4 linked regions of the Saccharomyces cerevisiae S288C genome follow. Changing the gene in region 3 together with the main gene of any one other region gives a genetic interaction. Each region holds a gene or a part of one and is shown on either strand. Other genes may lie near its edges.

Evidence for each region.
Region 1: mutations in PEX12 (region 3) and OAR1 together harm fitness more than expected from each alone (negative genetic interaction), as found in Saccharomyces cerevisiae (3 studies listed by BioGRID).
Region 2: mutations in PEX12 (region 3) and LAT1 together harm fitness more than expected from each alone (negative genetic interaction), as found in Saccharomyces cerevisiae (3 studies listed by BioGRID).
Region 4: mutations in PEX12 (region 3) and BUD31 together harm fitness less than expected from each alone (positive genetic interaction), as found in Saccharomyces cerevisiae (3 studies listed by BioGRID).

What each region holds. Positions count from the first base shown.
Region 1 is NC_001143.9:334,821-337,663, reverse strand, and holds OAR1 (3-oxoacyl-[acyl-carrier-protein] reductase (NADPH)), read left to right. Parts: upstream 1-1,506; coding exon 1,507-2,343; downstream 2,344-2,843. Other genes in the region: DNA damage-responsive RNA polymerase-degradation factor DEF1, read left to right, coding at 1-1,127; TMA19 (Tma19p), read left to right, coding at 2,749-2,843. UniProt on the Saccharomyces cerevisiae protein: Involved in biosynthesis of fatty acids in mitochondria.
Region 2 is NC_001146.8:489,781-493,471, forward strand, and holds LAT1 (dihydrolipoyllysine-residue acetyltransferase), read left to right. Parts: upstream 1-1,742; coding exon 1,743-3,191; downstream 3,192-3,691. Other genes in the region: lysine--tRNA ligase MSK1, read left to right, coding at 1-336; ribonuclease H2 catalytic subunit RNH201, read left to right, coding at 537-1,460; TOM7 (Tom7p), read left to right, coding at 3,586-3,691. UniProt on the Saccharomyces cerevisiae protein: The pyruvate dehydrogenase complex catalyzes the overall conversion of pyruvate to acetyl-CoA and CO(2).
Region 3 is NC_001145.3:323,736-326,987, forward strand, and holds PEX12 (ubiquitin-protein ligase peroxin 12), read right to left. Parts: upstream 1,701-3,252; coding exon 501-1,700; downstream 1-500. Other genes in the region: CSI1 (Csi1p), read left to right, coding at 1-452; YMR027W (putative methyltransferase), read left to right, coding at 2,142-3,252. UniProt on the Saccharomyces cerevisiae protein: Component of a retrotranslocation channel required for peroxisome organization by mediating export of the PEX5 receptor from peroxisomes to the cytosol, thereby promoting PEX5 recycling.
Region 4 is NC_001135.5:226,813-229,291, reverse strand, and holds BUD31 (U2 snRNP complex subunit BUD31), read right to left. Parts: upstream 975-2,479; coding exon 501-974; downstream 1-500. Other genes in the region: TVS1 (Tvs1p), read right to left, coding at 1,834-2,479. UniProt on the Saccharomyces cerevisiae protein: Involved in pre-mRNA splicing. Important for bud site selection.

The sequences.
Region 1 (2,843 bases), on a different chromosome or scaffold from region 3:
AAATTAGTGCTGTTATTTCAGAGCCTCCAGAAGATCAAGCTAATACTGTACCTCAACCACAACAACAATCCCAACAACCACAGCAACCACAGCAACCACAGCAACCACAGCAACCACAGCAACCACAGCAACAACAACAACCACAGCAACCACAACAACCACAACAACAACTACAACAGCAACAGCAACAGCAACAACAACCAGTACAAGCTCAAGCTCAAGCCCAAGAAGAACAATTATCTCAAAACTACTATACTCAACAACAGCAGCAACAATACGCTCAACAACAGCATCAGTTACAGCAACAGTATTTGTCCCAACAACAACAATATGCTCAGCAACAGCAACAGCATCCACAACCTCAATCACAACAACCTCAATCACAGCAAAGTCCACAAAGTCAAAAACAAGGGAACAACGTGGCTGCCCAACAGTACTACATGTATCAAAACCAATTTCCTGGATATTCTTATCCAGGTATGTTTGATTCACAAGGATACGCTTACGGTCAACAATATCAGCAACTTGCTCAAAACAACGCTCAAACTAGTGGTAATGCTAACCAATATAATTTCCAACAAGGTTATGGTCAAGCAGGCGCGAACACTGCTGCTGCTAATTTGACTAGTGCTGCCGCTGCTGCTGCCGCTTCTCCAGCTACAGCTCACGCCCAACCTCAACAACAACAGCCATACGGTGGCTCATTCATGCCATACTACGCCCACTTTTACCAACAGTCATTCCCATATGGTCAACCTCAATACGGTGTAGCTGGTCAATATCCATACCAGTTACCAAAGAACAATTACAACTATTACCAAACTCAAAACGGTCAGGAACAGCAAAGTCCAAATCAAGGTGTTGCCCAGCATTCTGAAGACTCTCAACAGAAGCAATCACAACAGCAACAGCAACAGCAACCTCAAGGTCAACCCCAACCTGAAGTTCAAATGCAAAATGGCCAACCTGTTAACCCACAACAACAAATGCAGTTCCAACAATACTATCAATTCCAACAACAACAGCAACAAGCTGCTGCCGCTGCCGCTGCTGCTGCCCAACAAGGTGTACCATATGGCTACAACGGTTATGATTACAATTCTAAAAATTCAAGAGGTTTCTACTAATAAGGGAGAAGTAGAACCTCCCACATAAAAAACGAAATGGGGAATAAAATACAATGAATTTAAATACACATTTTATTACCACTATTATGTTTTACTTTCTTCAATGTTTGGGCAAGGATTCCATATCCTTTTGATGATGTCATATATCATTTAAATTTTGCATATATATATATACGTACGTAAATAATAAAAGGTATATATATGTTGTGTTATCTATCTAGCTAGCTGTGTCTTTATTTTGCGGGGTTTTGGAAATGCCACTTTTTCTGTTTTATATATCACAGCGTCAAAATTTCCGCCGTTACTGTTTGCAACTGATGAGAACTATGGAATACACATGAGTACATTGGTATAGACGTGGGAGAAGAAAAGTCTGGAAATGCATTATTTGCCTGTTGCGATAGTAACAGGTGCCACTAGGGGTATAGGCAAGGCAATATGTCAAAAGTTATTTCAAAAGGGTTTAAGTTGCATTATACTTGGGTCTACTAAAGAAAGTATAGAGCGCACCGCGATAGATAGAGGCCAATTACAATCGGGATTATCATATCAGCGGCAATGTGCTATAGCAATTGATTTTAAGAAATGGCCTCACTGGCTTGACTATGAGTCATATGACGGTATCGAATATTTCAAAGATAGACCGCCCTTGAAACAGAAATATTCCACATTGTTCGACCCATGTAACAAATGGTCAAATAATGAACGCCGCTACTACGTAAACTTATTGATTAACTGCGCAGGCTTGACTCAAGAATCATTAAGTGTAAGAACCACTGCATCTCAAATTCAGGACATAATGAATGTTAACTTTATGAGCCCTGTGACGATGACAAACATCTGTATTAAGTATATGATGAAGTCGCAAAGGAGATGGCCGGAACTCAGTGGTCAATCTGCTCGACCCACCATCGTAAATATTTCCTCCATTCTACACTCCGGAAAAATGAAGGTTCCAGGTACATCTGTTTACTCCGCCTCTAAAGCCGCACTGTCCAGATTTACAGAAGTTTTAGCTGCAGAAATGGAACCAAGAAACATTAGGTGTTTTACGATATCTCCAGGTTTAGTCAAAGGGACCGATATGATCCAAAATTTGCCAGTGGAGGCTAAAGAAATGCTGGAGAGAACCATTGGGGCAAGCGGTACAAGCGCACCCGCTGAAATAGCGGAAGAAGTCTGGTCTCTATACAGTAGAACTGCTTTGGAGACGTAAAAGAAAATCGAAACAAATAATAGATTTGTGTCTGTTCAATGTGTATATCGATGAGCTCAGTGAACACATTTTCACATCACGTTTCTTTTTTTTCTTTTTTCCGCTAAGAAAAATTTTCCAGAATTTTTCAGAGGCAAAACAAAACTCATCGATTTCGCACGCATTTCTCGTAGAATTGATATTTTTTTATTTTTTTATTGGTTTTTTTTTTTTTTTTCACTTTTTTTTCTTCCTTTCATGATATTTATAAGGAGAAGTATTTCAATTGGGACTTAAAAAAAAATTTTATTTTGGTTAATGTTTTCATTCAATGGTTTACTACTTTCATTTTAGCTTTTTAACAATTTTCTTTCTGGGGTCTCAGTTGCGGTTAGCAGATTAACACAGAACATACTATAGACAAATATGATTATTTACAAGGATATCTTCTCTAACGACGAATTGTTGTCTGATGCTTACGACGCTAAGTTAGTTGATGACGTTATCTACGAAGCCGACTG
Region 2 (3,691 bases), on a different chromosome or scaffold from region 3:
GCCAAGACGGATCCGCAAAATAAGCAAGTCACGAAGAGATTCGAAGTCTTCATCAAAGGTAAGGAATACATCAATGCTTACGAAGAGGAAAATTGCCCCCAATTACAACTGCAGAAGTTTCTACAACAAAAGCAGATTAACGAATTGACAGGAAACAAAACTGAGACCTTATCGCCTGTTATTGACTACCAGTATGTTGAGACGATGAAATACGGTATGCCTCCAGTAGGTGGCTTTGGCCTTGGCATAGATAGATTGTGCATGCTATTTTGCGACAAGAAGAGGATAGAAGAGGTTCTGCCCTTTGGCTGTGTGGATGATGTAAACAGGCAGTAAATTTTGCGACGCCTGCCAATGCTTTTGTAAATAAATCAGACATATACTGTAAATAATTAGAATGGCATTTAATTTTTTTTTTTTCTCTACACCAATAAACTACGCTACGCGAAAAATCCAATATAAATATTCAGTTATAGCTAATGAGAGTGTCGAAAAACCTTGAAAACAACTACTGCACACCAAATTGATACGATTAAATGGTACCCCCCACGGTAGAAGCATCCTTGGAGTCTCCTTACACTAAGTCGTACTTTTCACCTGTCCCAAGCGCGCTCTTGGAACAGAATGACTCTCCAATAATAATGGGTATCGATGAAGCTGGCAGAGGGCCCGTATTAGGGCCAATGGTCTACGCAGTAGCCTATTCTACACAGAAATATCAGGACGAAACTATAATCCCTAACTACGAGTTTGACGACTCTAAAAAACTTACAGATCCCATCAGAAGAATGCTGTTTTCCAAGATATACCAGGACAACGAAGAACTAACCCAGATCGGCTACGCAACTACGTGCATCACTCCGTTGGATATCTCTAGAGGAATGAGCAAGTTCCCACCGACGAGAAACTATAACTTGAATGAGCAGGCGCACGATGTCACAATGGCACTCATTGATGGCGTGATAAAGCAGAACGTGAAGCTCAGTCACGTGTATGTGGATACTGTTGGACCACCAGCGTCCTATCAGAAGAAACTGGAGCAACGATTTCCTGGTGTCAAGTTTACGGTCGCCAAGAAGGCAGACTCGCTCTACTGCATGGTCAGTGTGGCGAGTGTCGTTGCAAAAGTGACCAGAGATATACTAGTCGAATCCTTGAAGAGGGATCCCGATGAGATCCTGGGTTCTGGATACCCCTCCGACCCGAAGACAGTCGCATGGCTGAAGCGCAACCAGACAAGTCTTATGGGCTGGCCCGCCAACATGGTAAGATTCTCATGGCAGACATGCCAGACTCTGTTAGATGACGCCAGTAAGAATAGTATCCCTATCAAGTGGGAAGAACAATATATGGACAGCAGGAAGAACGCCGCACAAAAAACCAAGCAATTGCAGCTCCAGATGGTCGCTAAGCCTGTTAGAAGGAAGAGGCTGAGAACCCTAGATAATTGGTACCGGTGATCACCTCCAGTTTGCACATACTATATATCTTCATGTAATACTACATATGTCATAACTTCAATAACTCATACAAGTCATCTGCTACTATGCTTTGCCGTTTCTACTATCCGTGAAGCGTGACCGGCCCTTCTCACCCCCCGTGTTACGCAAAGAACAACAAGAGGTCGAGACAACCAACCGGAACGACTAGAAGAGAGGCTGTTACGTTTCCTGTTTGTTCACGCTCAACATCTTCCATTGCTGTAAACTGCATCCAGTAAAATTAATAGTTATTAGCGTACTATGTCTGCCTTTGTCAGGGTGGTTCCAAGAATATCCAGAAGTTCAGTACTCACCAGATCATTGAGACTGCAATTGAGATGCTACGCATCGTACCCAGAGCACACCATTATTGGTATGCCGGCACTGTCTCCTACGATGACGCAAGGTAATCTTGCTGCTTGGACTAAGAAGGAAGGTGACCAATTGTCTCCCGGTGAAGTTATTGCCGAAATAGAAACAGACAAGGCTCAAATGGACTTTGAGTTCCAAGAAGATGGTTACTTAGCCAAGATTCTAGTTCCTGAAGGTACAAAGGACATTCCTGTCAACAAGCCTATTGCCGTCTATGTGGAGGACAAAGCTGATGTGCCAGCTTTTAAGGACTTTAAGCTGGAGGATTCAGGTTCTGATTCAAAGACCAGTACGAAGGCTCAGCCTGCCGAACCACAGGCAGAAAAGAAACAAGAAGCGCCAGCTGAAGAGACCAAGACTTCTGCACCTGAAGCTAAGAAATCTGACGTTGCTGCTCCTCAAGGTAGGATTTTTGCCTCTCCACTTGCCAAGACTATCGCCTTGGAAAAGGGTATTTCTTTGAAGGATGTTCACGGCACTGGACCCCGCGGTAGAATTACCAAGGCTGACATTGAGTCATATCTAGAAAAGTCGTCTAAGCAGTCTTCTCAAACCAGTGGTGCTGCCGCCGCCACTCCTGCCGCCGCTACCTCAAGCACTACTGCTGGCTCTGCTCCATCGCCTTCTTCTACAGCATCATATGAGGATGTTCCAATTTCAACCATGAGAAGCATCATTGGAGAACGTTTATTGCAATCTACTCAAGGCATTCCATCATACATCGTTTCCTCCAAGATATCCATCTCCAAACTTTTGAAATTGAGACAGTCCTTGAACGCTACAGCAAACGACAAGTACAAACTGTCCATTAATGACCTATTAGTAAAAGCCATCACTGTTGCGGCTAAGAGGGTGCCAGATGCCAATGCCTACTGGTTACCTAATGAGAACGTTATCCGTAAATTCAAGAATGTCGATGTCTCAGTCGCTGTTGCCACACCAACAGGATTATTGACACCAATTGTCAAGAATTGTGAGGCCAAGGGCTTGTCGCAAATCTCTAACGAAATCAAGGAACTAGTCAAGCGTGCCAGAATAAACAAATTGGCACCAGAGGAATTCCAAGGTGGGACCATTTGCATATCCAATATGGGCATGAATAATGCTGTTAACATGTTTACTTCGATTATCAACCCACCACAGTCTACAATCTTGGCCATCGCTACTGTTGAAAGGGTCGCTGTGGAAGACGCCGCTGCTGAGAACGGATTCTCCTTTGATAACCAGGTTACCATAACAGGGACCTTTGATCATAGAACCATTGATGGCGCCAAAGGTGCAGAATTCATGAAGGAATTGAAAACTGTTATTGAAAATCCTTTGGAAATGCTATTGTGAGGTTAGAATGAAAATAAAATTCGCCAGTAAATGCGTATCTTGGAGAAAATATCAATTTGTTATTTTGTATATATAAAAAATTAAAAAAAAAAAAAAAAAAATACTCAAATACTCAAATACGTATACATTATACTGAAATACTTCGCTTGTCTTCGAATCTAAATCCTCTCTCTCTTCTGTCTCAAAATGATATAAATAAATCACGTCAAACGGTGCGTCAACATCTTTGTTTTTTCACCTCATGTGGAATTGGTTGAAATTAACAAAGGAGTGGGATATAGGATATAACGCATAAAGTTTAGCATACTACTTTCGTATATTATTGTTCGGTGAAAGAAACTAGTTCCCTCTTATCTCTCAATATTTGCCAAAATTAGCTTTTAACAAATAAACCATGAGTTTCCTACCATCTTTTATCTTAAGCGATGAATCTAAAGAACGTATTTCCAAAATTTTAACTTTGACTCATAATGTAGCACATTATGGCTGGATCCCATTTG
Region 3 (3,252 bases):
GTTTAAAGGGTTATAAAATTGAAAATAGTGTACAGATAGGCGCGGAAATTATCCTTGATTTTCTACAAGATAAAGTGCAAATTAAGGATGTAAATGACAGATACCAAATTCCCACACCTAATAATACCGTAGACCCAGGTTTTGATGAGTTTCAATTAATTGACATGAAGGATAAAGAAATCAATATTCAAAAATATAATAATAATACCATAAGAAAATTACTCGAGAAGATTAATCGAATGATAATATTCTTGAAAAATTATGATGCCACTGACAAGCCTTTCTCTTCCACGCAAGATGTAATACTTCGAAAAATATCAATGCTTGTAACACAACTGCAAAGAGGTGGAACAAGTGACATGAATTACCTGCTGGATAACAAAATTAATGAAATAAAATTATTAGAAATTTCGTGTAAACAATGGGAAATTTCAAATATGTTAAAAAAATAACTAGAATATATATATTACACAGAATTATTTTCTTCACTTCCTCCGTCATCAGATTAGTAGCTTCCTAATACCTGTCACAACTTCCCATTTATTCGTGTGTTTGTTGTATGTACAACCCAGCAGCTTTTTATTGGTAACGGGACAATGGCCTTCATTATTAACCAAATAGCTTATGGCACACGGGTAGCATGCCACGTATCCTGTTTCCAATACACAGGGGTTTTGTACAGTTTTTTCGCAAACGGGACAGGCCTCAGAAACTCCCTCTTTATCTTCCGTTTTGTCACTATGTGAGGAGAAAGGCGGCCTTGGAATATCTTCATCCAAGTCATTGACCCTTTTCTGCAATTTAGTAGTCATGTCTTGTGTGGTCCACCATTGGTACACTCTTAGGACAAATATAAAAGTGGGGAAGAATTGCGAACCCATAAATGTTAAAAATCTGGGTATAATCGATAATTGTCCTTGCATTAGCGCGAAAATTGACGATATATTTGTTTTCCTTAGCCTATTATCCATCCCTTTCGTCTCTTTGAGACCAGAGAGTTCTGACGATAGTGGTCTTACCGTTGTGTACTCTATCTTGAATAAGTATTGCAACAAGGAAACCGACCCTGTTCTTTTAGTTAAAAATAATAATTTAACGAGTAAATTGGATAACGCTAATAATTTCTTAATAAATGGATAAATTCTTAGAAACGCTCTCTTGGGCCATTTATTTTCAGTTTCATCGCTGCTGAATATATTATTCATTGATATTTTCTCTAATATTTCATCCAACTTCGCTGTGATATAGGGGAGAATAATTTTTTCCAAAAAAATAACACTCTTTTGCTGTTGATTCAGCTGCAAACCTTGGGGCCATTCACTCTGGCCCTTTGGATTTAAACATTGTGTTAAGGCAAGATTTCTGTCCCTCGAACTAAATAGTTGCAATCCATAAAACCGATCAATAAACGTAGAATTGTATGTCTTTAGATGATACCATTCAACAAACCCTTTTATCGCTTGAAACCACTCAAAAAAGTACTTGTTCAGCCGCAAAGTATACCTGTTAGGGAAGTTCGCCACTAAATGATTTGCCAGTAGATAACGGATGGATGCGGGCAGTAACGAATCGATTTCTTGTGATGACATTATCTCAAAGATAGTCGGATACAATGGTTCTAATCCCACCCCATTTCGACCGCTTGTTGAAGACCCTCGACTAGATTGTCCTGCAGACGGTAGGTTTGAATAAAAGCTCATCACTTGACGACTACCTTCCTTTCCTTTGCTTTATTTTCCCTGCTTATTCCCTTGCTTCTTCTGGAGCCTTCATGCAAAACCGTTTCTCTACCTAATGTGATTCTGCGGTAAGCATTGCTCTTAAGCATCTGAATGAGACGAAAGGATGACTCCACACTAAATTGTACCTCTCTTCTCCAGTGACTGAATTGGAGGTTACCATTGCCAGTGACGGTAATCGTCCACATCGATGATTTCTTAGTATAACCCACACACCTCTCAGACATAGAGGCCCCAGGTGCAACGTGATAGTATAACTGCCCGGAAGTAGAAATACAACTATTCCCTTCATATTAAAAGAATAAAACTTCATTTGAACTCTTTAAAATTTAGTGGTTCATTGTGGTCCTTGTGTAAACGGAAAAAAAGGATATTACGGTAGTGGGTAGTACATAACAAGAGATGACTATCCCTGGAAGATTTATGACAATTGATAAGGGCACTTTTGGTGAATACACTGCTAGCACCCGTTGGCCCATTATCATTCAGAATGCTATAGACGATTTAAGTAAGCATCAAGAAACGGAGAAGAGTAACGGCACTAAGTTCGAACAAGGTGAAGTTATCAAAAAGGAGCTCAAGGAATTCCGTCAGGAGATAATTGATCGTGTACCTTTGAGACCCTTTACTGAAGAAGAGATCAAAATTGCCAACGTCCCGCTTTCGTTCAATGAATATCTAAAGAAACACCCTGAAGTCAATTGGGGGGCTGTAGAGTGGCTGTTCTCGGAGGTTTACTTGTATAGAAGAGTAAATGTTCTTTTCCAACGCCAATGCGAATGGGCTAAATTTGACATATTCAACAGACTTAAACAGTCAACTTTTGAGTCCTCGTTTTATGGTGTCGTGGAATTGGCGTTAAGGTATGAAAATCTGTTACCACAGCTGAGAGAAATGAAGCAAAATCCAGGAAATGAGATTGACGATATATTGAAAGTTCTTTTTAAAGAGTTTATTGAGATTTCTTTGTGGGGCAATGCCACTGATTTATCTTTATTGACCAACGCTACGTTAGAAGACATTAAATCAATCCAAGGGGCGAAAGCAAGAGCTGCATCCGAGTCCAAGATTGTTGTTAATGACACGGAGAAAGCATGGGAGGTATTAACCAAAGCCAGGGCCGATGCCAATAGCAGAGAAATTCGTGTTGATTTTGTATTAGACAATTCTGGCTTTGAATTGTATGCTGACTTGATGTTGGCAGCTTTTCTGTTACAAAGTGGTTTGGCTACCAAATGTATTTTCCACGCTAAAGACATTCCATACATGGTTAGCGATGTTATGTTAAAAGATTTTGATATATTAGTTCATGACCTGAGAGATCGTGAGTTCTTCCCAAGTGGTGAACCCTCGACAAAGGAATCCAGAGCTCTTGATTTATTTGCTGGTGAAATGGAAAAGTTCGTCTCTAGCGGTAAGATAGAATTCCGCGAAGATTCTTTCTGGACCACGGAATTAGATTATTGGAATTTGGACGCAAACGAAACCAAATACCATGGATCCATTTTGCACA
Region 4 (2,479 bases), on a different chromosome or scaffold from region 3:
GTTGATTTTTTTTTTTTTTGCTTCGAAATAAGAGGTAGTTTCGGTCAATAAAAGAAGCTCAAATAGTAGATGTAACTATAATAAAAGGGGGGAAAAGAATAGAATACGATTTAAAGCGTTGGAACCTCTGTTAAGATATACTCTATATGATTTTCAATTAATCATGCAACATATATTTAAAGTTTGAGAAGGATCAAAGGGCACCGTAAGGGAGGAGAAGAAGTAATTTTTTGATTTTAAATGAGGACGCGTTTTAGTCAGTGTTTCAGATCCTTATTACATCCACAGGTTTTAACGCGTTATCTTTGTTCCGAAAAAAAAAAAAAACGGAAAAATATATTTTTTCGCGTCGCGTTCTCGCGTCTGTTTTGTTTTTTCGCGTTCCAATGACCAAAATGGGAAAGTGGTCGTCTTTGACGAAGGAGACGAAAACCTCTTCTAAAACGTTGGGAGAGAGATAATTACATGGCCAGAACAATACTGCAACGTGCATATAGTCGTTAGTCTGTGCTTGCACATCCACGGCAGCCGCAGTGGACGCACTGATGGAAGGACACCTGTGTGCCCTTTTTGCGTGCTTCTTCCTCTAACTGTGCACGAGGCACCCTGCAGATGCAAGTGCTACCGTTGTTAGTTTCGTTCTTTTGAATGCAGCGCAGACAGCACAGTTTTTCATACCCGGTTTTGCGCCATTTGGCAATTAGCAATTTATCAGCATACTTTTCCTTTATCAACCAATCGTAAAGGTCTTTGGAGATGGCCTTTCTCTTGTAGTACAGAGTATATATGTATCTAGAGCGCTGGTGGTGGAGTTGCATTATCTCCCAGAGCTGCTCATTGGACTTTGCTGCGAGCTTAGACGACTTGTCCTTTTGGGCATCTCTGAGTTGGATTTCGAAATCTGTGAGGGTTGGCTTGATTTTTTCGAACCCGTCAGGTGCAGGCTTGGATCTTCTGGTCTTTATGCGCGGCATGTCGTTTTGTGAGGTGAGCTTTGCTAGTCTTGACGGCTGTAGAGGTGTTTACATTGATGATGAGTCCCTAAGAAAATTTTTCTTTTTTTTTCAGTATTTCACTTTCCGTTGTGAACGACAAATGTACTATGCGTTCAAGAGCCAACGCAGTATCATCGTCAAAGTTCCTACCACAACGCGTGTGATTGATCTTGTACTGGTTGTAAATGTGCTAAGTCTGTGACTGCAGTGAATAGGATTGTTTTAATCAACGATGTTATTTAAAAAAAATTAAACGACACCAGCAGGATTTGAACCAGCGCGGGCAGAGCCCAAGAGATAGCCGAACTTTTTATTCCATTCGAGTCTCTCGCCTTAACCACTCGGCCATAGTGCCATTTCGATTTGAAATTATGGTTTAAAGCGGTAGGTTTTATACATGTTTCTAGGCGTTTTTTCACAGATCCAAGACAGTAGAGCAGCTTGGCGTAGGTAGGATGGTGAGTAGAAAAACTAAAAAAAGAAAAAAGGAAGGAAGAACTTATTATACATTATGTAGAGTAACTAATTTTCATGTCTTTTGTGGATTATTTTACATTCTCAGAGAGAACCTCCAGTAGAGTCATTATACATAATATATTCACTTTTATCAGGTATGGGCCCTCAATAATCGTCATTGAACTCAATTCCAATGAGATCTTGCTTATTCATTTTTATAAATTTTGAGGAAGCGATAACGCATTCAGAATTGACTGAATGCTGGATAAACTAATAATTAAGAATTAAAAAGTAGGTGAGGAAAAGTAAAGCATATAAGCTTCTCACTCAAAGATGAGGGGGGGGTGAAAAAAAAAAGAAAAAAGAAAAGCCATTATGGCGGTTAAAGACTGGTTTTCCTGGTTTTGATGAGCCAGTCTTTCCAAATAAATAAAATCATTTCCCAAGCCATCAACAAAGAAACGAATCCAACACTGAGGTTGAAAGTGAACATGGGGGTAAACCCCCTATATTCCATGGCTTCAATGGACTGATCCGTGGACTCCATAAATACCAGACCACCACAGAGGAGACAGAACGAGGTGATCAACTCCGTGAAAGGCTTGGATGCGGCACTGTTGGTGTTGGGCACCAAAAACAGAATCAAAAATGTTAGCAGACGGAAGAAGGACCCATAGGACAACAAGTATCCCCATTGCGTGTGAATGGTAGTAGAAAATTGCGAGGACTGTGCGTGCTGGGACATCAGAATCCCAGTCCAAAATATGGTGAAAGCGGGGAACGGGTTTGGAGAGTACCCCGGTGTGGCAGCAACTACATCGGTCTGTGGCCGTTTGCGGGCATGCTCGAATCGCCAATGGTTGAGCTTGTACTCCGTGAGTAGCCCACACAATCCGGTTCCTATGAACATAAACGCGATCGACACATGCTGTAAATCCTTGGCAGTCCATGCGCCGCCGTTTCCTGCCAGGTGCTCCAAGAAGATGTTGGTGGACCCGTAAAAGAAAATGAGGAAGGATTCAACGAAT